Linked DNA regions of Drosophila melanogaster. The protein of the gene in region 2 interacts with the protein of the main gene of each other region in a pairwise test. Each region holds a gene or a part of one and is shown on either strand. Other genes may lie near its edges. The genes, in order: e(y)3 and Hr3.

Region 1 (16,281 bases), on a different chromosome or scaffold from region 2:
GCGCTCTGAGCGCATCCATAGCCGGAGCAGGAGCGGAGCACACGATGTCCTCGAACCAGGAGCAGTCACCCGCCGCAGTGGCCGCGGCCGTGGCCAGCTGCAGGCTAAGGAAACAGCAGCGCCGTCGACTGGCGGCCTTCGACTTCGACCACACGATCGTTTCCCAGAACACGGACACCGTGGTGCGCGACCTGCTGCCCACGGAGGTGACGAGCGCCAAGGTCAACGAGCTGGTTGAAAACGACTGCTGGACGGAGTACATGGCCGAGGTGTTTCGCTTGCTGCACGAGCAACAGGTGTCGGAGGCGCGCATTAGGGACACCATTCGTGGCATACCCGAGGTGCCCGGATTCGTGCGCCTGATCAAGCATCTGGCCAAGCGGCTGCACTACGACCTGATCATCATCAGTGACTCGAACAGCGTCTTTATCGACGAGTGGCTGCGGGCACATAACTTGGCCGATTGCTTTGTGGCCATCTTTACCAATCCGGCGGAATTCGATGCCTCCGGACGGCTTATGGTCCGCGCCCACCACCAGCAGTCGGATTGCAAGCTGAGCGCCAGCAATTTGTGCAAGGGCCGCGTGCTGGAGCACTTTGTCATCGAGCAGGACCTGCGGCGCAGCATACGCTATGACCACGTCTTCTATGTGGGCGACGGCAACAACGACATCTGCCCCGTGCTGCGGCAGCGGGCGTGCGACTTTGCCTGCGCCCGCAAGGGGTTCGCAATGGAGAAGCACCTGCTCCGCAATCGCAGCAAATTGAAGCTGCGCGCCCAGCTGCTGATCTGGAAGAGCGGCTTCGATCTGATGGACCAGATGCTGGCCCTGCCGCAGCTGAAGACCCCCCAGGTGCAGGGCGATGGGGATCAGCCGGATCAGGATGCGGATACGGATGGCAAAGTACCGGAGGTGGCACGTCGGGCATCGGCAGTTGCCGGGCCGACCAAGTCGCCCAACTAAGGTGGCATGTGCTCGCATTTGGCACCGGCACGAGTAAGTAGAACGGGTAATCCTCGAGAGTGACGATTGCCCAGCTGCAGGATGGCCATCGCATAGGAAACTGCTACTTTGGAGCACGATATGGTATTTCATGGTATCGAAAGATACCGTTCCTTGTTCCTTGTTTTGGACTATGCTGTGCGATAGCAATCATGCGGTTCTACGATGCCAGGAGTACTCGTGAGGGTCTCAAATGCGAAACCATCCATCCCGATCCCATCATCCCCATCCAGTTGTTGGTTGCATCATGTGGTCTGGTCTGGTTCTTTATTTGATCCGCTCGCCACTTCGCTGCACTGGCCGTGCCAAGTGTACTGGGTGGATCTGTATTTATATCTGTGTGCCGGGACTTTACCTGCAAAACAATTTGTGGAAATCCAAACAGTACAACTTCGGAGGTGTGCCCAGGACTTGAGGCGTCAATTTGTGCTGCGGCTGTTAGTGTTTATTCCATGTGTCTATATTTAAACCTGTTGTAATTGAAGCTATTGCAAGCGCTGTATATGAGTGTCCATATTATATGCATTTGAATGTGTGTTTTGCCGTTACTGCACCCGCTGCACTACCTTTTTTTCCTGGGTTGGGCTGGGCTGGTCTGGAGCACTGGGTGCTCTTGGTGCACACCACGCGACCTAGAGCGGGACAGCAGCATGCCAGCTGCGTGGCCAGGAGCGGGACGGGGATAGCAGCAGATGCGCTTTCTGCGCAATTTTCTCGACTTTTGTTTACACACCTCGCAGGATGAGCCATTTGCATTCAGTAGAGTGATTGATTGTGATGGTCAGAACTTACATATGTATATAGAACCTATAAGATTCGTTCGGGGACACCCCCTACTATCAAATATACACAGCAAATAGCAAATATAGCAAATCCGGACAGTAGCCCAAAAGTATGCAGCGAAAAGATGATTATGAACTTTTGCGGGATTGTTAATATCCTCTGTTAGAATATTGATATTAAAAAAAAAAACAAACACGCATAAATATTTATATCGTATCGTCTGCTCGAGGTTCTTTATTGGGTGTCAGTGACAATCTTAGTATTAACATTAATTTATTTGTAATTTATGTAGGTATATTACAGCTCCGCTTAAGTCGACACAGGCAATCTCGTGCACGCTTATGAAATATGTATGTATGTATGTATGCATGTTTATGTATATTCGGTCGAGCAGCTATGTAATTAACAGCGTGGATTATTCATCATCGATGGTTGGACGTTAGAATTGATAATATAGTGCTGGGTGTGCTGTCGCTTCCACTCCCTAGGAGCCCAGTGGCGACATGCCGATCTGCTGCGGAGTGGCGCCGAGTTCCAGGTTCTTGAGCAGCATCTGCAGCCACTGCTTGGTCGACTTGTCCTCTTGCAGGCACAGCGCAAAGGTGCCGTCACGCAGCTGATCGGGCAGACACTGTCCCAGGGCCTTGCGAGCGCTGAAAGAGTCAAGGCTAGACTGAAAAGCCGAGCGATAATTTACTCGCCCGCCAAGACTTACCGTGTATTGTCCGAAAGACGCAGATAGCAGCGCACCACATGCTTCAACAGCCGGGCGCATGGATCCTTCGCCAGCTGGATGACCATTTTGCCCTGAAATCGATAAAGACCCTTAGACAATGCATAAGGCTTCGGGAAACGGACACTCACCAGGGTGATGGCCACGTGCGAAAAGCGTTCGTAGGTCTGGCAGATGTACGACAGACCCGACTCATCGAGCAGGATCTTCTGGATGATGAAAGTGGCCACAGTCTTGCTCAGCTCCGATCCGCTGTCCATGATGCTCAGACAAAGGGGCACGATCTCGGTGGTCAGCAGAAAGGTGATCACCTCCTGTTCGTCGGTCTGTCGATAGCAGTAATAAGAAGACAACAAGTGCATTAGTGCATTAGATGACCACTGGCCTTCGGCTTAACCTACCTTGACCAGAGCACCAATCACGCCCAAACTGGTCAGGCGCAAGTACTCGAAGGGCCTGGTCTTGGACGTGGTCGACAAGAAAGGGTACAAGTACAGCGGTATCTGGGCCTGCAGGAAGGCCGTGCGAGTCTCCGGGTGCGAGGCGACGCACTGCAGCAGCGCCAGGGCGTTGCACACGCGGTTCGACTGGTGGGCCGTCAAAGTGGGCGGCGTTATCGATGGGTAGATGTTAACAATCTCCTGCAACAGGGCGCAGGCGGTCCCGAAGCTGTTCCACAGCATGGGGGCCAGGTCCGTCTCACGCTTCTTGCTTAGCTCGAGCAGAGCGGTTTCACGCGTGTCCGGATGGGCCAGCTCATTGATCCACTGGTACACCTGGCGGGCGATAAGTTAAAGCTAGCACGCGTTCTTGCCGACATCGGCTTACCTTCTCCTGCTCGGTCTGCTGCTGCTGCTGTTGCTGCTGCTGCTGCTGCTGAGGATTCATATGCGGACTCGGTTGAGCACTCATCGTGTTAACTTGACAAGATCTGGGTAAGAACTGTCGCCGGACGCTTGCAATGCACTTAGTGTCGGCGAGAACTCGCTGAACGGAACGGGACCTGCGAAAAGGAAGAGGTGGATTCCTATCGCCGGACGCTTAGATCGGGCGAGAGTTCGCTGAACGGAATGGGGCCTGCGAAAAGGAAGAGGTGGAACTAGCGATTTGTCGTCGATTTCTATAGCCGGACGCTTGCAATAGACTTAGCTCGGGCGAGAATTCGCTGAACGGAACGGGGCCTGCGAAAAAGGAAGAGGTAAAACTGGCGATTTGGCGTCTATTGCGATTATCGATAACGTTAGCAGGAAATTCCTTTTGCATTGGTTTAAGTCTAAAATGATCGAAAACAAGTGGCGACAACCAGGATTATGTTGTGTGCCGAACAGTGTGGCCAGAACCGCGCAAATGCCGCTGGAAATTGGTGAAACGCAAGCGCGCTATTTGTTTTCCAGCGTCGATGTAAATATGTACATAAATTTAAATTTTCAGAGAAACTTCCCGCCGTACGAAAACACAAAGTCTGAATGAAATCAAACATGATTTGCCAAATACAACTGCTTGCGCATGCTTTGTTGGTGCAAAATGCAAAAGTCTACAATTTTGAAGAAAATAGGCTTGATATCTTTGAAAAAGGATGACATTGCAAAGAAATAATGAATGGACGTGAGCGCGTGATTGCGAATGACCGATGATTACATTGATCAAAAGTAATAACCATAATGGGTATTTTAATTAGGTTATAGTTCATAATTTGCATGCTAAAAGCTAAAAATGCAATTTAGTAAAGACGCATTTAGCGGTAGTCAAGTGCACCGACTGGTTTGTATCCCGGCTATCCCCGTCGATTTTGTGGTATTTCTTAGCACATTCCCCGCCAGCCGGGTATCTAGCTGACAGCCGCAAAACGGCCACACTGATTTTCATTTGTCGTGACGAGTACCTCGGAATCGAAAAGAAAAAAACATAAGCAGACAGGCGAAACAGAGCATTCCGTTCAATAATGAATGCATAAGAACGTTCGACGCGCGCCGAGAACCAGTCTGCATACGAGTCGTGCGTGCGGCCAGCGTGTTGGATATATTTTTTTGAGGTTTGCGCCAGTTTCCAATGCACTCTCGTGTCGCCCTGCCTTCTGTACCATCGAATTTGAATCGTTAAAAGTGCGTGGAAAAGTGTACGAATCGAAACCAATACACGGAAAGTGGGACAACGGCGACTGAGAGAGCTCGTTGCGCTTGTCTCTGTGTCGCTGCCTTTGTGTGCGTACGACTGAGCGTGTGTGTGTGTGTGCCGTTCTGTTGCTGTTGTGTGTGTGTGTGTGCATGCGTGTGCACCGCCGATGTGTGCGTGCGAGTAGTGCCTACTGCGGCCGAGAGTCGAGTGTTGCCCGTGCTTCGAAATCGCATTGAATCGTATGGAAAAATGTGTTTTACTTCTCGCCCAACAACGCCGAACGCCTAAAAAAGAAAATTGCCGCACGGCGTCGCGCAGCATCAATCAAAGTGCATAGAAATATGAGCATGCCAATGCCAGCAAAGGCAAAGGCAAACGAAATAGCAAATCCAAATCGCAATCGCGAATTGTGCACGCAAATCAAAAGCAGGCGCTCTTCTACTCCACCATCTTCTTTTGTCTGTCTCTGAGCGACGACTTTGCCGCATGGTGAGTTTGCCGTTTGCTTGTCGTTGCTGCTTCTTCTTTGCCCCGTTCGTTATTGTTGTTGTCGTTGGTATTGGTAGTGGTAGTGGTTGTAGTGGTGGTGTTGGGTCAGGGCTTTGGCGGCGGCGTCGTTGTTGCTAATTTTGTTGCCAGTGCACTGGCTGTCGATATTGCGCTCTAAAATCGTGCTCACAATAATATTAGTCCTAGTGCAGATAGATAGATGCTTGCATTTGGCCAGTAGAAATGTAAGCATACATATACGCAGGCCAGGGCAACCAACCCATATGAGTGTGTGCGTGTCGTGCTCCTTCGTATGTGTGTGTGTGTGTGTGGATTTTCTCCATGCAGCGGCATCGACTGCTTGTGGTGGATTTGGCCGCCAGCGTGGTGAATTCGCGTCAGTGTTGCCAGCACACACCAGTAACAAACAGGCCATAATTCGTGGCGGCGCGGCTTTCTCAGTATTTGCCTATCCCGCTGCTTCGCTGCGCTCCTCTGCGCTCAACGCCATAGCCATTCCGCTTCATCCTCATCTTCCTCCTGCCTTTTCACGTTCTCCCCCAGTCGACAGCTGTGTGCGCATGTTTGCAGCGCTTATTATTTATTAAGTGTTGTTGTTGTTGCCCTCGCCGTGGTTCTTCTTGTGTTTATTTCGCTTGAAGTTTTTCGCGGCAATTTCGAGCGGTAGTTTTTCAGCGCCGGAAAATCGTATTGCATTTTCATCGGAATTTTCGGCTGGCGACTGTTTAAACCTGCGCGTCCTTCGGTATTTACAAATACGGTTTAATTGTTTAGACATGTGCTATAATTAGTTCGTAACTCTACCCGGCTTTCATTCAATTTTATTCTTTCATTGGGCTCCAATAAGTGTGTATGTACAAATGTACATATATGTATGTATGTATGTATGAGTGTATTTGTGGGTGTGTGTGTCTGTAGGTCGTTCCCCTTTTCAAATTGTCTCTTTTTAGTGTAAACAAAATGCATCCCTTGGAGCGGCAATTATACGCATTATTATATGCTGTATTGGCGGTTTTCTTTAGGATTGATTTCACATGCAAATTTAAGAATTAGTTGTTGAAAGTCCCGAATCTTATCGACTGCTATCATGCACCCTGATCTAAAGTATCGTCCACTTCTTTTTGCAGGCTGGCGGCCCACTGGACAATCGAATATAGCAATGAATGATTTACGTCAGCAGCAGATGGTAGCAGCGACATCGTCATCAGGATCGGAATCGGGAACAGCGGTAGAATCGGCAGCCGCCACGTCCACAGCAGGATCAGCCGGAGCAGCAGGTCGCCCCCAGTCTAACTGTAGCGCTAATAGCAACGCCAAGTCAGTGGCAGCGAGCAGCACGAGCGAGGAGGAGCAGCGAGTTAGCTCCACGTCGTCGCCAGCCCAGCGGGATCAGCAGCTGAATGCAGATCGGGACCGGGAACAGGAGCCAGAGCCACAGCAGCAGCAGCAGCGGGAGGAGGCACTGCAGCACCAGCATAATCAGCCCGGCCATATAACCAGCACCACAGCGTCGCCTCCGCCGACGCTGCCACCGCCGACGACGCCGTGCGACGATGCCCCAAGCACAACTGGAGCATCTGCATCGGCCAGCTCAGCATCCGGAGAAGCACCATCAGCAGCATCAGCAGCGGGAGCAGCAGGTGGACCGATGGCCGCTACGGCGCTTGAGGTAGAGAGCGAGGAGCGGGATGGACATAAGATCATCCTGAAGCTCTCCAAGCACGCCAATCCCAACTCAAACGCAAATGAATCTCAGCCGGGCGGAGATGAGAGGCGCGTGGAGCCCCTGCGCATTCAGCTGCCCTGCGGCGGAGCGGAAGGAGGCTTGGTTGCGAAGCAGCAAGATGCCTTCGATGCGGACGCCTCTTCCTGCTCCTCGTCGTGCGCCGAGGACGAGGTGGCTACCACCCTCGGCCAACAACTACGAAACACCCCGCACATTGTGCCAAAGCTGACCATCCGCGCCGCGAACGAGAGGCGCGTAGGCAGCGTGGTGCCTAAGCTGACCATCAAGTTGCCTGAGAATCCGGCTGCTTCCGGCTCCAACTCCAACTCTGGATCGTGCTCAGCAGCTGTGAGTGGCGCCCAGTCAGCTATGCCCGCCAAGAACGATGCCCACCTGTCCAGCCTCTCGCCCGCATCCGCCTCGTCTTCATCTGCCTCGTCCTCCTCCTCATCGTCGTCGTCGTCCTCACTGGCGGAGATGCAGACGGTGCCCAAGCTGATGATCAAGACAACGCTAGCCGGTAGTAGCTGCATCAGCAGCAGTGAGGAGCTTCCGCAGCAGCAGCAGCAGATACCAAAGTTAACAATCAAGACAGGTGGCGGCGGTCAGGAGCACGTGCACACGGTCATAATGACGCACGACCTAAACAACGCCCAGAGCATCCCCAAACTCACCATTAAAACCAAATCCATAGAGATGATCGAGGACGAACAGGCGGCTAAGCTGGAGCAGCAATTGCAGCCGCTGCCCAAGCTGACCATCAAGAACTTATGCTCACCGAAGCACAAGGTGCGTGCAGTGCTCGAGGAGAAGCCACCAACGGCGGCCTCCAAGCTGGCTATCCCAAAACCCACGCCCAATCCCACGCCGGCTCCCATGACGAATGGCGGCGAGTCGAACAGCAGTAGTCAGGAATTCTGCGGCTTCTCCGACCCAGACGCAGATATAGCTGCGCCAGCCTCGGACGACGTTCGCCGCAATTCGGACGACATGGTGATCGACGATTCGCTCTCCAAGGAGCACGATCCCAAGATTTTTCACAATCTACCGCCCATGCCCGCCAGCAACGGCATAGCCAGCGGTGGGAGTAAGGCCAGTAAAGCCAGCAAGTCTGCCCAATCCCAGCACAACGTTGTGGACATGGTGGACCTGACCTCGTCACCGTCGCCGGGCTCTTCGCCAACGCATGTGCCTAACAACTTCACGGGACGCATTTCGCCGAAAGGGTTGCTCATCGACTGCCTGCGGATGCAAACTGCGATCGGCTGTTATGTGCCCGAGGAGGCCGACAGTCGCGTTAGGCCAGCTGCGTCGCCCAATTCGAACATATTGCTTAGCCAGCTGACGGCACCGGCTAAAAGCTTCACAACGACCACGCCTAAAAGCAAATCCAGCAAGTATCCCCAGCTAACGGAGCGCCTGATGGCGAATGGAAGCGGTACCGGTGGGGGATCTGTTATTGCTGCAGAAAGCGAGGCAGTCGTTGGTCCCTTGCCCGCCGCGAATCCCGCCCAATCCATAATCGAGTCCATTGAAATCCTGGACACGCCTGATGGCAGCCCGAGGGTAGCCTACATGGACGAGGATTCTAACCCGATGCTCAACAAACATCTCCAAACTATTCACAAGCTCGCAATGGATCACGGAGTGGAACAGCGTATGGATACCCAGGACAACAACAACGAGAACCACTTGAAACGCACTAACAGCGAGGGAAACGAATCTCCCAGCAGTAGAGTACGTTGTCGCTTATTTATTTATAACCAATTGTACCGTGACAGTAGTTTTTCTTTTCGCAGCTCCCTCCCAGCAAACAGCGACGTCTGGACAACGACGAGAACGACCAGCAGACGCAGAATTGCCACGATCCCGCCAGAAAGTGCAGTGAATCACTGCAGGCGCTTCCGCCGTCACATCGCTCGCGCAAGCAGAAGCACGAGCGAATCCTGAACACAGATCTGGAGGGTTCGCTTTTTCCACCCACCCAACAGCAGTCGATTTCAACGCCGGATCAAAATGGAGCCTTGTCCTCGGAGGTCGAAGGCGAGGACGCAAAGGCGCAAGATCCGCTAGAACCGGCGACGCCTCAGCCCCCACCGGTAGCGACGCCGGCAGGAACGGGCAAGAAGCGTGGGCGGCCGAAGCGTATCCAAAACCAGAGCTCGCCGGATGGTGGAGGTGCAGTTACTCCCAAACCCGGCACTCCACAGGAGGAGGCCAACAGCGCTGTCAAGTCGCGTCGCGTACAACTGCTGCGCAAGCGACTGGCCATCGACATGGTGAGCGTGGGCCAAGAGCAGGCGGACATGAAAGCTAAGGAAAAGGAGTCGTCTGTGGGCGTGCCAAATGCAAGAGTTGAAGACGGGCTTGCCGAAACTCTGGAATCTCCAAAGACTCGCGACCATCGCCCCCTGAGAGCCACGCGCCGCACCACGACCAGCACAAACACCAACCTGCAGCCCACGCCCAAGTCCACAAGGAAGCGCCAGAGCAAGGCCAGTGTCCAACAAAGCCAGTTGCCGCCGCCGACGATGGCTCAGTTCGGTAGTTCGGAGTCCGAGTCCAACAACAACAATAATAGCAGCATATCCTTTGCCCTGAGCGCGCAGATCGACCTCACAATGTGCTCGTCCAGTTCGTCGACCTCCTCTGGCGCTGCCGCCAACCAGCAGGTGATCGGTGGAAGTGGCAGCAGCTCGATGCTACCTCCGACGACGATTCTGTCTTCTTCGGATCCGCTGCCCGATGTCATCTTCCAGCCAAATGACTTCTCCTCTATCATGGCCACCCAGCAGCTGCGCTCCTCGCGCCCCTCAAGCATCAGCTGTGGCAGTACCGGCGGTAGCCAGCCGGACTGTCACGACGAGGACAACTACACCAGCGCGCTGGACAATTCCGGAGGTAAGAAAGTTTTGTTAAATCCTTTAAAACTTCAAGTAACCAAAAGTAAACTCTTCCTCTTCAGACGAAACTGCGTTGCCTATGCCCCCCACGCGGGGACGTGGTCGTGGCCGGCGATCCAGGGGAGGCCGCGGTAGAGGATCTTCTTCGGTGGATCGGGCTGTCAGCGTCGGAGGCACAGCCTCCACAACGCCCGCCACGCAGCCTAGGGCCCCGCGAATGAGCCGAGGAGCAAGTGCCGTAGCAAAGGCCATCGCCATGAGTCGACCACGATGCGTGGGCGGCCTCAAGCACCAGCCCGATCCCGAGAGACTTAAAGGCTTGTTCAGTCCGGTAAGTGGTCTTCGTTTATGCTTGGTAAAGGTAATCGTTATGCTTATGGTAAAGTAAACATTGTTATATTAAGTGGGATCAAGTTGCGTATGTTTTTGTTAATTTTGCAAAACTACTTAGCAATTCGCCAAAGCCATTTGATGAGTGCTTAGCTTTAGGGATTTTCATTTCTCTAAAAATGGGTGCGAATATGAATAGCCTAGGAAGGAGCGTATTTTATATACTTTAGTAAAACATTTATATATATATTTGCAACATATTTAGTTATGTTAATGGGGGGCAACTGGAATTAGGACCTAACTGGTTCCACTTGTTTCGAAAACTGCAAATAATACCACACTTATTCTCTCATAACCAAGTATCGAGAGCGACTCGTCGAAAAGTGGCGCGAATATTTAGAAGACGGCGACTAGTTGGCTAAACTAAAAATATAATAAATGCGCCAAACTTTGTCGCTGGATAAGAGAATCGTAGATCCTTGAATTGGAGTCACCTTTTGAAATGGGGCTGTTTGCATGTTATTTTAAACTAACGAGACCGAGCAGCAGTAACGAGTGATGGTGCGGCTCGAGATCTCGTTAGTTCTCGCAGTAACGGACATCGGATATGGGGCATCGTGTTGAAGATGGTCAGTACAGTTAGGGCTTCTACCGGGCTTTACAATTTGTATTACATTGCCTTCTTGTTTATGTTTCATTACGTAAATCTTGCCCACTTACCCAAACTCTCACACACACTGAGGGCTAACGTGTCGTAATTAAAAAAAGGCGCGCGCCATGTCGCGAATTCATTGCCAACGGCCTAGTGTAAGTGCACAGCCAACAACAACAATAAAGCCAAGCGAGCCGCTGCTGCATTAGCTATTGGGGGCGTGTGGCGTGCCGGTTAAGGGGGGGAGCGGCGAAGGAAGCAGCTGCGAACTGAGCAGCGCAGCCGCTGTGATTGTTGTTGGCTTCACCTGCGATTTTAATCAGCTGAAGTTTTTGTTTGGCTCTCGCCAATCGCACGTGTGTGTGTTTGTGTCTTTGCATGTGTGTGGGTAAATGAGCTGACAGTAGTCCACCTTCACCACACCTGCTGCTGCTGCACTCGCTCTCACTCTCGATTGCTCTCTTGCCCACTCTCTCAGCGGGGCTTTGAATGTGAACTTCGTTGAGAGCTGGCAACTCTGCGCTCGCCGTTTTCGCTGCTGCACGTTTAAACATGTGCAAAGAGCAATGGCTTCCAAAAATTGCAAGGATAAATAATTATGCGCACATGTGTACATATGTACGCATGTATGCATGTTGAGCAATTACCCTGTGTTTACAAATGGTTAGTTTTTACTTCGTAGGGTTTCAGGGTTTCCTTCTGCTATTGGCAATTCTAAGTAAAAGTAAGTTAAGTACCAATCGTATAATTATTCCTACCGTTCTATGAGAATGAACTGTTATGTCCTAGACTACGAATTGAAATATGTATGTATATGTATGTACATACATACATATATACATATATAAGGTATACGTTAGATCGCAATGTCCTTTGAATTCATGATTCCTAATTACCTACCGCCCTAATTCTTCTTTAGTCGCCGCAAGTGTTTGAGGAGGACACGCGTATGAGCGCCGATCTTAGCAACAGCAATCAGTCGATGGCCAGCCTGATGGAACCCCCGCTAACGCCACAGAAGTGAGTCTTCCATGTGTTCATTTCCACTGTAAATTGTAATTAATAAATTCTTTTCTCGTCTGCAGGCAACCCGACTTCCTCAACAACGAGGAGTCACAGTCGTCCATGGTGAGCAATGTGAGCATGATGGACTCCAACCAGGGTCAGTCCGCCGACGCGATTCTGGGTTCTGCTCTCAAACGTCCAAAGAAGAAGAAGATGGAAACTTGCGTGGCCGAAGAGTAAGTGCATTCTAACGAACTCATAACGTAGCAGGTCTAAGACTTTATTGAATTGCAGCACCGACTACAGCGCCTCCAGCATCGCCGAGTACGACTGGCCACCGCCTAAAGGTTGCTGCCCATCAAAGAATCGGGACACCTTCATGATTCAAGAGCAGGTGGCGCTCTATCTGGGCATTACCAGCTTTAAGCGCAAGTACCCGGATCTGCCACGCCGATCGGTCGACATGGAGGAGCGCAATTGGCTGCAGGAGAAGGGGCTGGTTAGCGAGAAGTTGTGCGACCTGGGCATCACCGCTGTGTGGGCCTCCGACATATTGGACATCATGTACGCGGACTTTTTCGACAAGTACGAAGAGTACAAGGAGTACATTCGCAGAAAGCATTTGCGCGAGATCGAGGCTAAGCAGAAGGCCCTAGGACTCACAGTCGGGGCCGGACGAGGTCTGCAAGCTCGCGACCGTGCCATGCTTTCGGCCACCAAGTGGAACGCTTACTTCAACAAGTCGTGAGTTACTTTCTATACTTTCTAGCAGTTGCATTTGGTAAATGAGCAGCTTCCTAATGCTAATGCCTTCTAATCTCTTGTATGCAGCCGTAAGGATGAGCGCCAGTCCTGCATGGACCTGCAGACCTTCACGATAAATCAGCCGCAGCCAAGGACCGCGCCCACCTGTACACGCCTAGAGCGCTCCACTTCGGATTTGATACGGGCAGTGGCAGAAGAGGCGAATATCCCGGCACCGCCTAATCTCCTGCCACCCCGCGACTATGACGAGGCCTTCCGCAACTCAGACTACGCTTATCCACTCACGGTGGTACCGGACCAGTTCTCAATGGCCTACCGCCAGTTTGAGCCCGCCGAGCTCAGGTAAGACGCAGTCGTGGTGTCTCTATTATTTTCACTGTCACTAACAATTCACTTTTACAGAGCCTACCCACTGGACACGGCGCTGGACAAGCCGCCGACCGATCTGATGGCTCAGCTGCTACAGGCAAAATCCGAAGCTGTAGGCAGCGATGAAATCAAAACGTCCGCCCCGGCCCCCAAGGATCTGGGGCAAGAGCAGTCCGCCATCAAATCCGTAACGGTAACGGCGCCCGTCCGACGCAGCAGAAGGTCCACACGCCAGCAGACGGACAAGGTTCGCACGGCTAGCAGCTCCAGCACGTCCTCCGCTCAATCGGTCTCATCCGCGTCCAGCGGCAACGGGAGCAGCAGTGATACGGTAATTTGAGCGATTTGGATAGAGATACATTCATTCGATTTGATGAAATACATTGAATTGAGTTAAATTGAATCACATTTGGTTCACTGGTGTCTGCATTCTGATAACTATGGGCTTCAGTTGAAATAATCGCCAACAATTCTTATGCATTTTAGGAAAGCGGCGATGAAAGCGACTTTAGCAGCACATCGAGCTGCAGCAGTTCGACGGGTGCCTCAAGTGGAGCAGGCAGCGAGGACGAGGATGGGAACGAGTGCTCATCGTCGGTCAGGCTGTCCACCTGCGGCGTCTGTCTGCGCAGTCAGCATCGCAATGCTAGGGACATGCCGGAGGCTTTCATCCGCTGTTACACATGCCGAAAGCGCGGTAAGTAGTCCCCCATACTTTGCTCCGCTTCCGTCCTAAAATCAGTGCCATCCCACAGTCCATCCCAGCTGCGTTGATATGCCACCGCGCATGGTGGGTCGCGTGAGGAACTACAATTGGCAGTGCGCCGGGTGCAAATGCTGCATCAAGTGCCGTAGCAGCCAACGTCCAGGAAAGATGCTCTATTGCGAGCAGTGCGACCGAGGCTACCACATCTACTGCTTGGGCCTCAGGACAGTCCCAGATGGTAAGTACTTCGTGGCTTGTCTATAAAGCCATTTGGAGAGTTAGTTGCTCATGGATAACATACATAAATTGTTCGATTGAATGATTTGAAATATACAGACTAGATTACTTAACAAACATCCCTCTTACAAAACTTACAGGGCGCTGGAGCTGTGAGCGCTGCTGTTTCTGCATGCGATGCGGGGCCACCAAGCCGGAGGGTCTGCCCCAGGTGGCCGCTCTGTCCCAGGCGTCCGGAGGACCGTCGGCCAACGGGGATCGCTCAAAGGCAGCGCGCAATAAGCGCTTGAAATGGGTGCACGAGTACCGCATCGATCATGTGACGAAGATCCGGGAGCACGCCGCCATGTTCTGCGTACCATGTGCGCGAAACAAGCCCGCCAAGCGGCAGTCGGCGGCGGGTGCGGCCGGTGCGGCAGCAGTTACTCCTGTCTTGGAGGCCACTTCCGCGCAAACGGATGACAGTCCGATGCCCAGTCCCGGCCTGACAACCAACGGAGGACGCGCCCTTTCGCCAACGGCGGCACTGAGTCCAAAGGCAGCTGTGCCCGTGGCATCGCTGCCGCCCGTTCTTGAAGCGACGACGGTGACCACAAATATTGCGGGAACGATAGGCAGACGGCAGGCGGGTAATGCTGTCAATATTACAACGATGCAGTGCAGCAGCAGCAGCAGCAGCAACTTCAGCGGGAACGGAGTCACCGAGGACGCGGCGAATGTCACTGCAACGGGAACGGCTACGGCGGCCGCAGGAGCACCCGCTGCCACTCCAATAGGCATAGCTCCGCCGCCCGTTGTTGCCTGAGTGGGGGTCATACGTTATTGTGCCAAGCGTACTCTAACGGACTTATAGTAAGCGCCGGACGCGCCGCCCCTTTTACCAAGCCGCCTCCAAAGTGGTCGTAACCACAGAGCACAGCCGCCATCCCAAAAAAAGAAAATAAGAAAAAAAAAACCACACACAGATGCATAGTATTAATGAATGCGACAAGGGGAAGAGAATGGATTAAGAGTGGAGAGAGTATTTAAGGTTTTTTTTTTACTACGATTATTCTTTATTTGTCAGTACTGCATTGTATTGATTGTGTTTTATACATATATACATATAAATATTCCTATTATAGTTATGTTACTTAACTTTGCTAATGTTAACAACCAAACGACCGCATAAACACACACAAACACACACACACACATGACACGCACCCCGAACACCAAGTAGACCACGTTATGCTTAAGACTTTTTTAACGCCTAAGTTGAATAGCCTAGCACTAAGTCACAACTTCATTTGTTTCTAGTGAATTCATTTGACGCATTTTAGTTCAATTGCGCGCAATCGCCCACGCAAAAACAGATTTGTACACTTGCGTTTTTAACCGAGGAAAGAGTGCTGTCTGTCCAGCTGTCCAGCTGTCCTGGCCGTGCGGCTTTGTTCGTTTGTATTCCCGTGTCCTTGGAGGCTTGGTCCACCCGCTGGGTTGGGTCTTGTCCACGTCTGTAGGTAGGGCTAGCTGTTTCGTGTTACCGTTTGCTTTTGAATCGAAATAGTGTCTATTTCTATTTCTCAGCCAAGTCTAAGTCTAAGCCGCCACCGTGCGCACTGTGCATCTGTATTTTCTATAGACATTATATTTGATTTTAAACGTCTTATGCGCCGAATTTTTGAACATGTATGTATATGTGTGTATTTATAAGAACCACGCCCTCTAGCCCATGTAAGTAGTTAAGCACAGCCTAAGTAGTGTCTTCATGTGCGGTAGCTGCTTGTCCTTTTTTTTTTCGATTCGTTTAGTTTAGATTCGGTAGATTCGTAAGCGGGGTAGGGACTTGGCTCGGCGGTGGATCGAGGATCGGGGAGCCGGGTGCCGCTCTGCAATCGTATGGCTAAGAATGTATTATAAATGTAATTTATGCTAACACATAACCCAACAACAAACGGACCCACACACCACACACACACACAAACAAACATATATATTTATATATACATATATATATATATATATATATATATAGATATACTAGCTGTAGCTATAAGATTAAAGCACAAGAACAGATACAGATGTGGCTAGCGAGGATTAGGTAGGAGGAAGTGGAAGTGTGGAAGAACCATGTGTGAAATATTGTTAGGCAACAGTTCTAATACCGCCGCAGGATAGGTAGCTCTAAGTTTTCGATCTACTTAAGACAGAGTGGATCCACAGACGGGCCCAGCTGCAAACCTCGGCTGGAGAGAGCTGGGTAATCCACTTTATGCGAAAAGTAAATCTTAAGTCCTTCATATTAAGTGGAATTATTCTTATGTATACATACTGAAAGATTTATTTTTAAGTCGAATAAAACAGCAGCATTAATAACCTGGCCTTACCACAAACTCTACGCCACGATTTTGGGCATCAGGAGCTCCTCCAGCTCGTGGCCGTCGCGCCATGTGAGCACGGA
Region 2 (16,346 bases):
CGTTGTTGGAACTACGAAACCATAATTCAAGAATCTGAACTTTTGAAAGCACTTAACACACATTTTATTGTCCTAAAGCTTAGTTTCAAATGAATTTGAAACTCAGATGGATTCAACAATGTGTCATCAAGTTTTAATCCGTTTTAATCATTGATTATTTTAAAGGAACGGAAGGAAATCGTAACTCTTCTACTTTTTCATTTTATTTTATCTCGAAACCTAAAAAAACATTGATTTGTAGACTTTGAGCAAGTTACATTTTGAAACAATGTTTTCATTATTAGAGATGAAATCTAAGTCCAGCTTGTAGCTCAGCGATTGGAAACAAAAATATCGAAGCATTCAATTAAATTTCATCGCCTTGCATTTACTTATTGCAGTTTTAGACACGTGTTCTTAATAAACCCCCCAAGTTCTAACAAATACTTATAGAAACGAACGAGCCTAAACGATGCCATAAATTTCCTTTCCCAATCATCAAATTCCCGATCGTGTGATATATCCGAAAACTGGTGGTTAGCCATCTAATTAGAGGCAAATAGATTATTCCAATAAATTATCCAATTTGCGGGCGATGAAGGCGGCTTTCGCCGTGTTGCGATGAGGGATTTCCTCGATGGATTTTAAAATTTTTCGTTTTGTTTAACAATATTTATATATCCTTGTAGCACACACACACACACTCTTTCGTCACATTGCTCTTACACATACACGGAGATTGGCTTTGTTTTTGTTGCACAATGTCGTGGGGAGGCTGTGGGGGGGATTCTCCTGGTTTTTTTTCGGGAGTATTACGTCACTGGCACTTCCGTTTCCGTTTTTTTACTCGCGGAGAGAGGGCGCGCAATTGCAGTTGCAGTTGTAGGCACGATGTGGAATTTGAATGCACACGATATTGATTGATTGACTGGTACTGTATATAGCGATATATGTAGGCGTATCCTATGATTTTGTTTTGATCTGAAACCGAACAAACTTCATCTGCCGCCGCATGTTGCAAGGCCTTAATTTATCATATTTTACTATTATTTTTTTTAACACACTGGCACACACTCGCGCTTCGTAGTTTTGCCTTTTGAGTAAATTTGCTTTTTGTGGGCTTTTTTCCCGGCTGAGTGGGGGTGGTGAGGCGTTTTGGGGGATTTGGGGGGCAAAACGCATAGGCACACGCACACACACACGCACACGCACGGCGCACACACACGAGCGATGGGAAATGAAAACGGTACAGAGTATAAACAACAACAACAAATAATTAATAATAAAGATACAACGCGCCACGCATCGTAACCCGCCGCCGCGAAACGCTCAATACGAGGTGTAGCTGAAGAGTGCCGCAAAATGTTATCGACTGTTCGTTGTCGTCGTGCCGCGGCAGCGACGCCGGCGGCGCAGCAGCAGCGCCGCAATGCGGCAGCAGAGCTCGGGCTCCCCAAAAGCAAAAGAGCGGGAGACAGCGAGAGAGCGCAAGAGAGAGAAGTGGGTATATGTGTCTCTGTGCCGATGACTTCTTCAGTTCGCTGCCCCAAGCCCCCGCCCCGCTGCCACCATCACACCCACTTTTGCCTCGTCCGCTTTGTGCCGTTCATTCGCTATGGCAACCGCTCGGCGAAGAAAAGAGTCATAATCAGCTGTTATCTCTGCTCTCTCTCTTTTTACACCCCGTGGCTTTCTTCGTCTAAGAGAGAGGGTGGCAGAGAAAGAGAGGGAGCTTTTGGCGCTTCCTTCGATTAGCAGGTCAATTGCTTTTTAGGCCAAAATGTGTGCACTGCAGTTGCGAGCAATTTAATTGCATTTCTTACTTTTGCCCCGCCGACTGGCCAAATTGTTTCCCATCCTTTTTCGGGGCGGAAGTGGCAATTGCACCTAAATTATACCGCTTTAGTCCTGCCGACAAGCTTTTAATGATTGAAAAGGCTTGAGACTCTTAAGCTGCGCTGATACAATTATTTTATTAACTATGAATAAGTGGGCTTATACGTTTGAGGTTTTAAAATCATGTTAAGTGAGAGCTGTGTAAAAATATGTGATATTTGTTTTAATACGATCATTTCGCCATAAGGTAGGCACACGCTTTTCCATTAGGCCAGTGGCAATAGACGGTATCATATAGTCTTTTTTACTTATATTACTATTTTAGAGCTAAATTGCTACAAACTAAAAAGAATATTTTTATATTTTTCAACCTAATATATTGGCATGTTAATGTTGCAGTAATGCATAAATTAATTTATATTGAATGGTGCATCCGCTATAGGTTTCCTTCACTCAAGTATATTAATCTCTGATTCTGATTATAACGGACTAACTAGCATTAAAAATTCACACTTTTATAATAAAACTTGCAGTTCATAACATAGCACTGCAAACAATGCACGCGGGATTTCAGTTCTTAGACAATGAAGGCAAAAAAAACTGGGTTAAGTCCCAGAGTGATGAATTTTTTATGGATTTATTTTTATTAATTTTATAAATATTCAAGCCATTACGTGTGGCACAAACAAATTTAGAAATCCAAAAAATCACCGAACAGTCAAGGTGAACTGCACACGGAGTTTGTGCTGGCCAATTAAAAATGTTAAAATTAGTTTAAGTCATTTGGCAACTTGCTTTCGAAGTTTGCCAAAATGAAAAGCGAACCACAATATCAAAATAAAAAAGTAAATTTCCATGTAAATGTTGAAAACAAAAAAGAAAAAACATCGCTCAAGTTATAAATTAATATTTCGTTTACGATAATTTATGTATTTTCGTTGACGTCCAATACTAAAACCATTAGCTTTGCATCTCGCAGATACAAAGATACATGTGTGTGCGCATAATTGGAATTTCGCATAGACGGGAAAGAGATGAGCTGATTACGAAATCGCCGGGCAATATCGATGAAGTTTGGCAAAATCGAAAATATGATAATGAAACTTCGCCACGCTCGATTGAAGACGAAATCTCATGCGGCGCTGACCTGGCTAATAGCCACAGATCCAGGTCCAGACGACCAGGTCGGTCAATAAGCCGAAGATTCATGCATGAAATGCAAAGCGTTGTCCAACAAAATTATAATGAACCTGGCTCCGATTCATATGGGAAATTACAACAACAAACACCGCCAATATATGCCCCATCGCAAAAGTGATAGTGCGAAGCTATATATCTCGTAATCCGCCAGTTGCAACATCTACGACGACGGCGACAACGGCGCCGAACTGCCAAAGTCCATCGACCACGTTCAGGGTCGTCTCATCTGCAGAAAGGTTCGGATGAAGAAAACCTTTATGTTTTAGCTCTGCATTTTTTTTCTTTTTTTTTTACGCCAACTACCATTATGTGGGCTAATCATTGTCAAATCCGCTTGTGTTGGGGGGCTCTGAACGGGTTTTCAAAACCATTTGAATCATTTGGAAAATTTCACGTGATGGGTACTTTACAAATCGATAATTTCAAAAATTCCCTTGAAATGTACACTAATGTTTTAAAGATATTTCAAATATTAATTTGTGGGAAAAAGTTTACTATGAAATGTTGGTAATAACATGTCACTTTTCTAATAATATGATTGTAATATGTAAGATTAGAAATAGTTTTTAGGAAGTACAAAAAGTATAGGCGAACAAGTCGAAATCATCTAGAATTTTAGACATATAGGAATATTATATCCAAACCGATACAAATCCCGTTTCACCTCTAGTCAAAATAAAACTATAAAAGATTGTTCATTAGATTTGCAGATCGATCATTCAGCTTCTGGAATTGGGAGAGCAGTTAATCTCAGAAACAAATCGATTGATCTGTTCCTTGAACGTCATGTCTGTTCTAGCAGGTACAGCAATTAGGCAACAACGATTCATCGCCTCGATCATCAATCATGAGACTAGAAAATCCGACATATTTGGCCACCGCCCCAGCCCGCTAATGAGCCATGCAAGTGGATACGGCGGCCCCCAGCGCCAAGATATCAACAGAAAACTATAAAATATAGATCAATCTTGGCCAAAACTGTAGGGCTTCTGCATGAGAAGTCGTGTCAGTGGCTGACACTCATTTGTAGTCATCAAGTGAACCGAGTCGAGGGAGCAGACTCGAACTCGCTGGCCCGGGGCGCTGCCAAATCAATTTTTCAGCTTAGCCGCCCCGCGCCCTAAGCCCGTTCGCTGCTCGGCTGCTTACACTGAAAAAAAAAAACAAGGTAACCTTCAATAATAAAATGTCCTAAAGCAAAGCATAATGCATGAGCAGAAGATAGAACAAATTTAAATTATTTACACAAAGTGTTCTTATAGAGATTATTTTAGTTTCTAGACTGGACTAACACTTCAGCCCCTTTTTTTCAGTGTAAAAACGTTCATTCTGTTCTAGCCAGCTTGAGTTTCGCTCTCAGTCCGTTTGAGCCTTCATTCAGGTAACTGTATAGTTTGTAGTTGACGTTTTTACCGCTAAGGTTCGTGCTACGGTAAAAATATGAGGGGCCGAGCAGAAGAACGGTGGTGGCGTTTGCTGCTGTGCCGCAACAGCAGTAAAGCGAATATGCCGAGGCAGGGAGAATCGCAGAAACAGCTAACAGAACCTAATGATAAAGAACGCCATCTAGACTTGGCCAAAAGCTAGTCAGCCTAGCAGCGGCTTATTTAGTATGTCAAAACATGTTTTTGTTGCTGCCTTCTTACTGTATGTGTGTTGGTTGTTGCTGTTGCTGTTGCCGCTGTTTGTTGACTATGGAAAGTGGGCCACATGGCCGTAGCTGTTGGTGTTGCTGCTTTGCTGCGGCGGCTGCTGCTGCTGCTGCTGCAGCCACACAAAGGTGAATAGCCAATAAATCGAGGCTTGTAAATTGAAATTCTTTTTAGCACGGGGTGTGTACACCGTGCAATGTACACCCAGTGCACCTGTTGTTGCAGTTGCTGCTGCTAGTGTTGCTGCCGCTACTGCTGATGTGTTGCTGATGTGTCAGCCTGTTAATTGCCGCTGCCTGGGATGCTTGCGCAATGGGCGAGCGTTCATTTGCATAGCTCGGATTCTGGCGTGGAATGGGGAAGGGGGAAGGGGGAGGGGATCTGGGGGATATGGGTGCGATTATCTGAACCATCGCTGATCGTTGGTGGTCGCTCTGGGCGAGTGCTCACTGTGCTGTGGTTAGCCGGCGGTTGTTCGCAACAAGTGGAATTCTTGCCGAGTTTTCTGGGGTGCGAACTCATCACTCGCGGGAATCCTTGACTTAAGGTCTTTCAAATATTTGCTACAATCACTCACAATGGCTTAGTAAAATTCTTTAACGTTTGTTAAGAGCAAGAGTGACGAAGAACATTGCTTTTGCATATGAAGATATATTATTGGTAGATATATTATCGTCTCGAACAGTATATATATTCCCAAATTGACTAAAATATAATTGAGAGTTGCACTGGAACATACCTGTCATGGCTCCATTACTGCCGCTGCTGCTGCTGCTGTGCTCTCTGCTGTTTTCTCTGGCCGATGTTGCTGTTGCACTTGCTGTTGCTGCTGATGTTGCTGCGGCTGCAGATGTTGCTGATGTTGCTGTTGTTGTGGCAGCGGGCTTGTGAGTCGTGAGCGGTGGCATTGGTGGAGGAGTTCGCTCCTTTGTGCGTTTTAGGGAGCCCTCCTGGCTGGTATTGCTGGCCATGTTCTTGCACACGGAACTGATATTGCTGATGCTGCTAAAGCTGCTGAGACTGCTGAAGCTGCTGGAGCGTGCCAATGCCGGTGGATCCGATAGGAATTTCACCTGCTGCTGCTGCTGTTGCTGCTGCTGTTGTGGCCGCGACTGTGCTGGCCTGGTGGTCGCCAATCTCTTGGGCGCCGGAGGCTCTGGTTCAGTCTCATCCTCGGGCTCGCCCTCCGCCTTTAGCTCAGCCTCGAGCTCGTTTTCCAAGTCCGGCTGCACGGTGGCTATGATGGTGCCGTCCTCGTTGGCCTGCTCGAAGCAGACGTCCAGCAAGGTGGCTCCGCCACCGGCCTGTAGGCCGGCAATATCCTTGAGATCTATCCAACTGGCGCCCAGCTTATCAGCATCGCTGAGGGGCAAGCTCAGTACTCTCGTGTCGCCCTCGTCCACGATGTGGAAGGATTGCGTGGGCTCGATCTTGACGATGATGGGCTGGTTGGCCAGGATTTGGGCGGGTGGCGCACTGCCCAGCAAACTGGCCATGTTCTCCTCCTCCTCGTCGGCGGCCTCCAGTTCGCTGAGCTGCTGCTCGATCTGCAGGTAGGTATTACTGCTGGAGTTGGCTGCCACACCCGACTGCTGCTTCAGTACGTCCAGTTTGAGGACCGTGCACTTGTCGGTCTGCTGGTACTGGTGCTGCTGCTGGGGTCGTGGCAGCAGTGTCAGGGCGGGAGCACCCGATGTTCCAGAACCTTCCGTTATAAAGGCCAATGGTGGAGACGTGCCCGTGGATTTGGTGGACACACTCCGCGACGACTGGATCAGCTGGGGCAGTGCTGGCGGTGCTCCTCCACTGCCGCCAGTGCCAGAGGCACCGCTACCACTGCGTGCCACAATGGTGGTCGAGACGGGCAGCGGGATTATTGAGATGGAGGGCACCTTGCTGCGCAGATTGGCCACCGCCGCTGCTGTGGCGGCATCGGTGCCGATATACGTTGGACCACCGCTGGAGGATTTGCTGCCGCCGGCGGGCTTGGCCTGCTGTATCAGCAGGAGATCTCTGGGCCTATCCGTTGTGGCGGCCGTTTACTCACAAAGGCTCTCAAATGTCCGGATTTCGCCTTCGCTTAAAACACTAAACACTCACACTTTCACTTGGTTCATTGCTTGAATTTCTTGGGTTCTTTTATGCTTGTATTTGTTACTTGTTATATTTGGTTTTTTTTTTGGGTGTAGAAGCACAACATCGAAATAAATTGAAAATCAGCCTTACGAAAGTGCACTTAAAAAATTGTCGACTAAACAAGTTCATTCATACTGCATTGCCTCGATTGCTTGTCAATTGGTGTAGATACCCCAGAGGGGGTGGCCTAATGAGGGGCTGAGGGTTCGAAAAGGGGGGGGAGTGGGCTTTTAGGGGCGTAGTGGGGTCTGCAGATGCACCTGTGCGTTTCGTTTCGTTCGGTTCGTTTTTGGTTCGTTTTGCAGCTGGAAATACGCGTCGTATACTTAACGTAACTTTGTGCGATGCATAGAGTTCGACATTCCGATTAATGCTTTCCACTTGTGTTGGTTTTTGAGTAAATTTTGGGCTAGTCTTTTCGGTTTTGGGTTGTGTTTAACTTTACTTTACTGCCTAATATGCAGCAATTGTTGCTGTGCTTCGGTGACTGAGCCTGCTTCTGTATCTGTGTCCTCCGCGTTTGCCTGTGGTCGTTGTCATCCTCGTTTTCGTATCCTGCTGCTGCTGCTGTTGTTGCTGCTGTTGCTGTTGCTGCTGCTGCTGCTGCTGATGTTGCTGCTGCTGTTGCTGTTGCTGCTGCACATGCAACGCGTCGCCGCTGGATGGCTGCAAGGCTGCGCTGCAGCATTCGGTAGTGTCAGCGCCATTGGAACCCGACCACGTCAAAACAGTTGGAAGTGTGCCTCTGGATCTGGATGTGGATGTGCCAATGTTGCTGTTGATTTCCCACATCGCGGCACGCAACCCTATGCAACCACCACCCCAAGCACCACCTCCATCCTCACGGCAACAACAACCACCAGCTGTGTGGAAAGTGGCTTTAATAATCGATTTTTCAGCGGCACACTTGCGAATCAATATTTGGCAAACAGGAGCAGCGCTGCAGCTTTCCCTTTTCCTAATCGGATTTCTATCCCTTTAGCTTCGATATTAATTAAGCACTGTGTTCAATTTTGTTTCACTTTTGGCTGGTTTGTGGATTTCACTGTTTCAATATTTGTATTTTCACTTTCAGAGATTTGTGGCTAAATGCACCGCGCGCGTTTTTTTGTGACTCCTTTTTGTCGATTTTGCGAAGCAGCTGACCGGAGCTGCGTCCTTTACAGGAATGTGTCCCAAATTCGAGTGCCACAAACACAGTTCGTTCTGCCGCTGCACAAACTTTCCGTTTCGTGGGGGTTGCGCCTCAGTTTCTGGGAAAAGGAAAATCCGAGTGTGTGTGTGCGTGTGTATCCGCATGCAAGTTGAAAAATGGGACTCGCTGCGAACTGCTGCGAAAATAGGGTTAGTAGGCATAATGCCAAGTGCATAGCCAGGAAAAACTGGAAGCCACAACACGAAGGAAAACGAGCACAGTCGAACGAACGTTTGTTGCGCAGCTTTTCCACCCCTAAAACTCTCAGTGGGGGCGGGGGCGGGCTAAGGGCCAGGAAAATTCCCGTCGTGGTGATAAAGCGTCATGGGAAATTTCTGCACGCTCGAGGTGGAAATTCCAAGGGCGGAAAATTTTGAATGAGTCTTCTGGGCTTGACTTTCGACATTTACTCAACTAACAACTGAAACTGCCATTTATAATATTTGTAAAAATTCATAAAATTAGTTAATAAAAAATCAACTATGATATATATTTTTATATATACATGTTTAAAAAGAAACATATTTGGTAAACAAATATTTTCTTTTGTTATGCATTTAAATAGTGCATAAGATATGTAATTCATGGTTAACCCCTCGTTTATAAACCAAATTTGTAGAACACGGATAAACTATAGATGCAGTAGTAAGTCATTATATATACGAAGTCTTGTCTACTACAAGCTGTGTAAAGATAATATACATGTATTTATAATTATATAGTATGTATATAAAAAGCTTTAAAGTGTCATAAATAGTATGAACATTGGCACATATATATTTTTAAATGAGTCATAAAATGCGCATTTTTAGTGCTCTCAAAACTACAAGAATGCACTAAAATGTTAAGCTCGCTAATTAAAGCTGCCAATGCCAATTTGGGCAAAAACCAATCAAAGAACAGCTATGACCACAATGACCCTCGAGTCAAGAATGCCCAAAAAAAGGGGCGAACCGAGAACATCTCGGCCATTGGCCAACAGACGGGGCAAATTTGAACTAATCGCCCAACTGGGCCCCAGCCCAACCGATCGGATCGAGCCATCATTAGGGCGGGGAGGGGAGTGGGGGAATTGGGTGGCATAGGGCCAAACTTCTTATAGAGGAGGGTCGATGATGGCGAACGGAGCGACCACCGTTAGGACGGATTCGGATTCTGATTCGGAGCCAAGACTCAAGCATCGGCATTAATATTTCATGTTTTTCCGTTGCTTAAATCATGTTAGATTTATTCTGCGCCGCATTCAGCTGCCGCTTGCGCAACAACAATCAAGAGCTAACTGGTAACTGGTAACTGGTTGGTGGTTCTGCCAACCAGCTTACTAGCAGCTTGCAGCTAAACTTGGCTAAAACACCGTTGGTTCTAACGTGAACGCGAAATGTGTGCCTCACCGTTGTAAACTTCTTGCGGCGGCTGTTGCCTCATCATCTATTGCAAGTCTGTGCCGATTCTAACCTGTTTTCTCTGCAGAAACTCTCCGAAAAAGTCCCGTAAGAAAGTCCCAGTTATTCAAGAGGAAAAACCTGTTACACGCAACTGGCTCAGAGAGCTGATTGCCAAGAAAATGGAGACGGAGAAAAGCAAAGAACAGAACAGAATCAAAAAGAAGCCAGCGTATAGCCACAATAGCAGCAGAAACAGCAAACACGTTAGTACCGTTGCCTCGGATTCTTTGTTGCGCAACTGTGTTGCAAGATTAGCTGCGACTTCCAACTGGTTTATTGCAGCCCCACTGTCGATGAGGCAACAGTTGGCCGGGCCATTACTGTTGTTCTGCCTTGAAGATGTGGTAAAATCTTTTGGCTAGAATCGGAAATCCAACGGCGAGACTGGCGGAGGTGCTGCATTGCATGTCTTGCAGCTTGACTGCATATCCCATCCATTTGTTTGCGGCTATTGAAAGCCGTTGCCTTTTATAATCAATTAGGTTTTTTTTTTTAACTTTTCGCCAGCCTAATGATTCCAATAGTCGCCTATAGCCAGGCAAGGCTGATTTTTGAGGCGAAATATCACCAACCAACTATTTTGATTACCAGAGAAACTCTGTTTCAAAACTAGCAAACTCATAAGACCTTTAGCAAATCTATTACAATGCTTGAAAACAATTTATGGAATTATTTGTCATCGTGTTTGGTTCTAAAGAGAATTAAGACCCTATTCAAGTTATATTCTATATAAAATTATTTTTTTAATTCCCTCTTTGTTAAAATTTGATCCTTTTCAAAAGTATTATGTATTCCATTCCTTAATTATAAAATCATCTAGACATAAATCGATTTATTGTAAGAACTTAAATATATCCAATAGTTAATAAAGCTTAATATTTTAGGAATATCATAGCTACTCGTGGTCTTATGTTTAGTACTCCCCATTCTCACTAACCTCTGATGGTGCTGGGCATGTTATCCGGGTTAAGCAATCTCATCAATGGACATGGACTTTCGTTCAGACACCCAAATCGGATCAGATCAGTGTCAAGGCCTTGAACTCATCTCCCGGCCATGAGATCATAATAGCGATCGTAAAATCGGCGAATTAGTTCGAGTCCCAGTATTGTTCTCGGATCAAATAGTTTTCAAACGGCGAAGTTAGCCGGCGAAGGCGATGATGAAGCCGGCGGAGTGGAACGGATCAGAAAGGAGAGCAAGCGTAATCGGGACTGGTAGCGATCCGATGAGAGAGCCCGGAATCCGAGTGGACTGGACTGGACGTGGGGACAAACGATTGCACACTAAATGGCCAGAGACCGAGTCAAAGACCCGTTGCATCCGATGATCATGATCGCGCTCATCATCGTGGTCATCATCCTCTGCATCGGCGGTGGAATCATCATCCTCTGGCGGGAACCTGTGTGCGGAGGCGAGTGGGAAACCAAGCAAGCTCCAAAAAGAAACAGAAACAGAAGCTCAGCCGAGAAAGGAGAAAGGAGCTGCAAGATGTTCCCACCTCACACACGCACGCGCTCACCAACACACCTGCAGAAGGGGCGCTCACCACAATTCCTGCTAATTAAATGCGTGATCACTGCCCAAAAATAATCGCGCAGCAACCGAAAAGCTACAGTCCCGCCTTCCTACAAAGGATTTTATAGAAGTCATTCAATAAAAAGTACACCAAAGCAAAAAAAGATTTCTGACATTTAATCATTTTTAAAATTCGTCAAAATAATGATATATTTGCATGTGAAGTTTAAATAGGCTTATAGAAAAACCGATTAGCTTTTCTTTGAATAAAATTTTCCATGGTATCTTTTAAAAATAACAAAGTTTTAAAACCCCTACAGCATGAGAAGAGAAGATATAAAATACTATACTAAAATATCGATTTATGGAAGTTGGCCTGTATGGGCTGGTAACAAATACACATGCCAGCGGAGTCAAGCGTGCATTTCATCAGAGATGGGATGTCCGAAAGTCCGAGAGTCTGACTGTTATTCCCAATGATACACGTAGTGCTCGGTACGAAGAGTTGGGGACCGAAGCCCGTGACGTTGCTCGGCAAGTATCTGTGTATCTTTGGGGCCCGTCATCGGATCGCAGCGCGCTCAGTTGCACCTTTAATCGCTGAGCAAACAGGAAGACTTCTACGGCAAACACACACACATGCCCACTCGCACACACACTCGCGCTGTGGGATGAAAAGGGGAAAGGCGTAAGAGGGGAAAAACAGGTTGAGAAGTACCGCTAAGCAGAGGCCCCAACTTTCCGAGGTCAACGAACGTTCTTAGCGCTCAAGAATGAAGGAATCAAAACACACCAAAAAATACAGAGCGAAGAAAAGAGAGCGAGAGAGGTGCTGAGAGAGAGTAAAGAAAGCACAAAGAGAGAGAAAGCCAAGCGATCGACTTAAGAGCGCGACAGGTAAGCGCTGCAACCAAAACCAAGAGAGCCAATCCGAATACGAAGAGAAAGAAGACAGTATCTTTTATTGTGTTTTTGTATGCACATGCACTTTTGAAACGAATTTATCTGTTGCCCACAGCTAAATGAAAAAGCTCACAAATTGTGTATTTTTAGCCGCAGATTTAAAAGAACAAAAAGGGAGAGAGCGGAACAAAAGCCGCATTGTAACTGTCTGTCTCATGACCAAAAGAAACCGAAATTCTTATTCTTATTGCTCAATATTTGGTAATACACACTCATGGATACAGATATAGATACAACTACAGATACATGTGCATTCGACGTGCAAAAGCCATTCAATGTAGCGGTATTTTGTCGAAATTTCCTGAGTCTCGAGACGAGTACAAAGCTCATTGACCTCATGCTCTCCCTCTTTCTTTCTTCTCTCTTGTGCCTTCTGCCCCATTCCCTTGTAACAAGTGTGTAATGAGCGGGGAGGGGGGACTGATTTGCTGTTTCTGATATTTTTTGGCGTTTTAAGACGGGCTTCCAGCCAACATAAGATTCGAACATTTTCGGCTTTTATGCCTTCCTGTGCGACTCTTCATATTCTTCGTTTTCCCTGGGGAATTTCGTTTAAATCTGGCCAGATGGGGTATTTATCAGTAAGCCCACACAACTTAGAAAATGAGGGACGTATTTAGCTGGCAGCCTGTTGATGCCATTTGCGTCTACTGCAATCCGATTGGTCAGTGGATTTGTTTCCCTACCGAAGGACACCTCTTTCCATTGGCTGTTGCTTCCCCCTCTCTCTCTCCCACTCTCTTTCATCCTGCGTCGTGCTCAATGTCCTTTTGTATTTAAACCGCCTGTTGCCGATTTATATGCTCTTTCTCTTTGAAAGGAAGTATTCGTAACCAAAAAGATAACACATTCATAAAAATGTTGATAACTACACGTAATACTTTTAAGCTCTTGACGTTTTGTGACTCATTGCCTCTATATTTCATAATGAATAAGAAAAATTACATTAAATTATCAATTTATTTTTAAAAGTTATTCATTTTAAGAAGCCCGAATTTTAAATAAATATATACTTATATAATAATATATATATTAGAAATAATAAAACTTATAAAATAATAAATATATAATCATTACAGTAAAGACTTTTAGGAAGACATCCTAGAAGAGTATTCAAAGTTGTGCACCAATGCAAACGCTTTGCTCTAAGCTTATTGTTGTCATCACCCATTTTAGGAAAATAGCCATCCTGCTGTTTAATAGCAATTTCATTTGGATAGTCCTTCGTTTTTGCATCGGAGAACAAACAGTATCCGGGTATAAATAGGTCCTGTTTGAGTCCGATTCCATTCAGTTGGACTTTGATTCGAGTCCTGTGCGTGTCAAATTGAAATCTATTGTAATTGTGCGTATATAACTTGGTAGTAAAATATTCCCGAAATATATAAAAAATTTTGAAATACTATAATTATTGTCCAGAAGATTTTTAAATAAGTGTTTGAAGAAAGTGTTTAGCTTAATCTCAATATATTTATTATAATAAAATTATTTTAAGTATATAAATAAAAACTAATATCTGCTGTAAATGATTAATAGCCATATAAAATGTAACCAGATTATCTTGTAGTTGTTTGAATTTTCTGTGATAATTTCTAATGAATGCTAACATATTTTTTAAATTCCCTCGTTATTTACAAATGCTTAAAAAGCCACAATGTTGCTGTTCTATGACTATCAACATTATTTGTGAAACGGCAAATATTTAATTCGATTTCGATCGATGAATTTCAGTTCATGTTTCCATCGTTCTAAATGCATGACAAAATGCAGTTGGAGTATGGGTGCACACACTGCAGATCGTTACAGATATAGTTAATTTGCGGTATTTAAAATATAATCAAGCAATGCAAGTCAGCAAGCATAAACAATTAGAGGGTGCTTTCCAATTTAAACGGAATTTTGTTGGAAATCAGCTGGCAATCCGAGCGCATCCCCCTTGGTTACACCCCTAATGTCGTGCTGCCTATGGGATGGCCAATTAGGGAGCTCCGTGTGTTCCAACAACTTGCCAACACATCCCACAGCCAGATCGGATTTGTAGTGCAGCCAACAAGCTAATTGGTTCCGGCCAGGTCTATAAAAGCCCGGCGCTATCCCAAAAGCCCTAGTTATAGGATAAATATTATCACGGCCGCAATTAGGTAACCATCCATCGGATTCGAACCCTTCCAGTGCCCGAGGTGCACCAACTAGGTGTTTTCACAGCTGTTAGCGTTTTCATAGCTTTTCCAAGCGCTTTTCTTGTCATTTCCATTTCCAGCGAACGCCAGAAGCCCCACAACATCGGAAGTGCACAAGTTTCTATTCCATTATATTGTTCTCCGTTGTTTTTTTTTTACTATTTCCCACCAGCGGTCAGACGGTTGACGTTCCCAATTCGGCATTTCAATTTGGCATACGTCCCCGAAAAATGGAGCTAGCCTAGCCAGAGTCCAACAGGATTAGGCCAAACTCATTGCGAAACGAAACGCCTGAAGATACATCTACAAGCCGTGATTGCGTGCGACAATTGCACAGTATTTACGTCAGCATCGGTTAAGTGAGGCGATTGCACCATGGACTTCAAGGAATACCGCCAAAGGGGTGAGTACTGTCCAAATCTGGGCCATAAAATGCACAGCGGCAGACGCGTGTAAGTAAATACCGGATGGAAATCCCATCCAAAGGTCACCACCATATACAATATATTTGATTGGCCCAAGGCGGATTTGTCCCGGCCGTTTGTCTTCGTTCCATGGCCTGTAATTGAAATCCCACACACGGAGAAAATCCCAGCAATGCAGTATCATATTTTCAAATCAATTTTCATTGACATTTTCGAGCTTACATGGCTGCTTTTGTTTAAAGCGTGTGGCAATTATTTATTAGATACTTTAGCTGAACAACTAAATAATTGCAATTGTAAGTTAATTACACACACGTGGTTAACATAATCTACGAATTGTTAGTATATTACATCTATATCCCTTTTGGTTTTATTAACACTTTAACACCTTTCCTAGTCATTAATAATTGTGTACTTTTATTCTAATTAAAATAATTAAATATTTTAAAAAATATTCTATATTAATTAGGGACAAAGACTAAGCAAAATCGCTTGAACTGTATTAAAGTACATTTTATTTACAGGCAAGGAGATGGTCGACTATATTGCAGACTATTTGGAGAACATCCGGGAACGCCGAGTTTTTCCGGATGTCAGTCCGGGCTATATGCGCCAGTTACTGCCGGAGTCCGCTCCGATCGAAGGTGAACCGTGGCCGAAAATATTCTCGGATGTGGAGCGAATCGTGATGCCGGGCATAACCCACTGGCAATCGCCCCACATGCACGCCTACTTTCCGGCCCTCAACTCCATGCCTTCCCTACTGGGCGACATGCTGGCGGATGCGATTAACTGCCTGGGATTCACCTGGGCGAGCTCGCCGGCCTGCACCGAGCTGGAGATCATAGTGATGAACTGGCTGGGCAAGATGATCGGTCTGCCGGATGCCTTTCTCCACCTGAGCTCCCAAAGTCAGGGCGGTGGAGTGCTGCAGACCACTGCCAGTGAAGCTACTCTAGTTTGTCTGCTGGCGGGACGGACTCGGGCTATTCAGCGATTCCATGAGCGACATCCTGGCTATCAGGATGCGGAGATCAACGCCCGGCTGGTGGCCTACTGCTCCGATCAGGCGCACTCCAGTGTGGAGAAGGCGGCGCTCATTGGTGGGTTTAATCTAACTAACTTTATAGTTATTGATTGTTAGGTGATCCTTTAGTTTGATTACATTCCCTTATAGAGAAAACCATTTACACTAATACACCGAAATACGTATGATCCACATTTGCAACTATTCTATCTCTTGGTCGGCACGCTCGACCATAGCCAACTTCATTGTTTAAGCCGCTTACAGTTTAAGCCACACTCCCACTCTTTTGCTCCGCAGGACTCGTGAGGATGCGTTACATCGAGGCGGATGATGACCTGGCGATGCGCGGCAAACTGTTGCGCGAGGCCATCGAGGATGACATTAAGCAGGGCCTGGTCCCCTTCTGGGTGAGTGGCAGTCTGTCAAAATTAATTGGCTCGCCTTCCGCAGCCAGCTGATTCCCCATTCTTGATTCCTAACTCCCAACTGGAAACGCCAGATTCACGACTCCCACTGGAGCCAATTAATACATGTCAGCATTTAAGTGTCCTGCGGTGGTTTATTTTTAGGTCTGCGCCACACTCGGGACCACCGGCAGCTGCAGCTTCGATAACCTGGAGGAGGTGGGTGCTTAGGGAATAATTACAAGAAAATAGGAATAATCCAATGGCCTAAATTAAGTGGCCTCGAAACATCTGCCAGTGATAAACAAAGCTATAATTTATATAAAGGATAATATATTGTTCCACTAGTTTATTGTACAAAGCTTAAAGTAAATCGTTTTGAAGAG

The links.
Region 1: the proteins of Hr3 (region 2) and e(y)3 interact in a two-hybrid assay, tested with the Drosophila melanogaster proteins (one study listed by BioGRID).

Annotation. Positions count from the first base shown.
Region 1 is NC_004354.4:19,626,461-19,642,741, reverse strand, and holds e(y)3 (enhancer of yellow 3), read left to right. Parts: upstream 1-4,372; 5' UTR 4,373-5,369; exon of another isoform or gene 5,370-5,890; intron 5,891-6,272; 5' UTR 6,273-6,304; coding exon 6,305-8,608; intron 8,609-8,655; coding exon of another isoform or gene 8,656-8,670; coding exon 8,671-9,772; intron 9,773-9,818; coding exon 9,819-10,105; intron 10,106-11,675; coding exon 11,676-11,776; intron 11,777-11,841; coding exon 11,842-11,997; intron 11,998-12,055; coding exon 12,056-12,505; intron 12,506-12,592; coding exon 12,593-12,868; intron 12,869-12,928; coding exon 12,929-13,226; intron 13,227-13,381; coding exon 13,382-13,592; intron 13,593-13,650; coding exon 13,651-13,839; intron 13,840-13,978; coding exon 13,979-14,643; 3' UTR 14,644-14,775; downstream 14,776-16,281. Other genes in the region: CG12237 (uncharacterized protein), read left to right, coding at 45-965; Rcd-1 (required for cell differentiation 1), read right to left, coding at 2,272-2,440, 2,503-2,594, 2,652-2,846, 2,922-3,296, 3,349-3,432; CG14212 (uncharacterized protein), read right to left, coding at 16,216-16,281. UniProt on the Drosophila melanogaster protein: Essential transcription regulator during early development. Coactivates transcription of some euchromatin genes and repress transcription in of euchromatin genes translocated to heterochromatin.
Region 2 is NT_033778.4:10,226,618-10,242,963, forward strand, and holds the start of Hr3 (hormone receptor 3), read right to left. Parts: upstream 7,991-16,346; 5' UTR 7,596-7,990; coding exon of another isoform or gene 7,257-7,595; 5' UTR 6,695-7,256; coding exon of another isoform or gene 6,164-6,694; coding exon 5,407-6,163; intron 1,341-5,406; exon of another isoform or gene 706-1,340; intron 1-705. Other genes in the region: CG12912 (uncharacterized protein), read right to left, coding at 7,257-7,595; Hdc (histidine decarboxylase), read left to right, coding at 14,480-14,507, 15,054-15,632, 15,854-15,963, 16,126-16,179. UniProt on the Drosophila melanogaster protein: Putative receptor whose ligand is not yet known.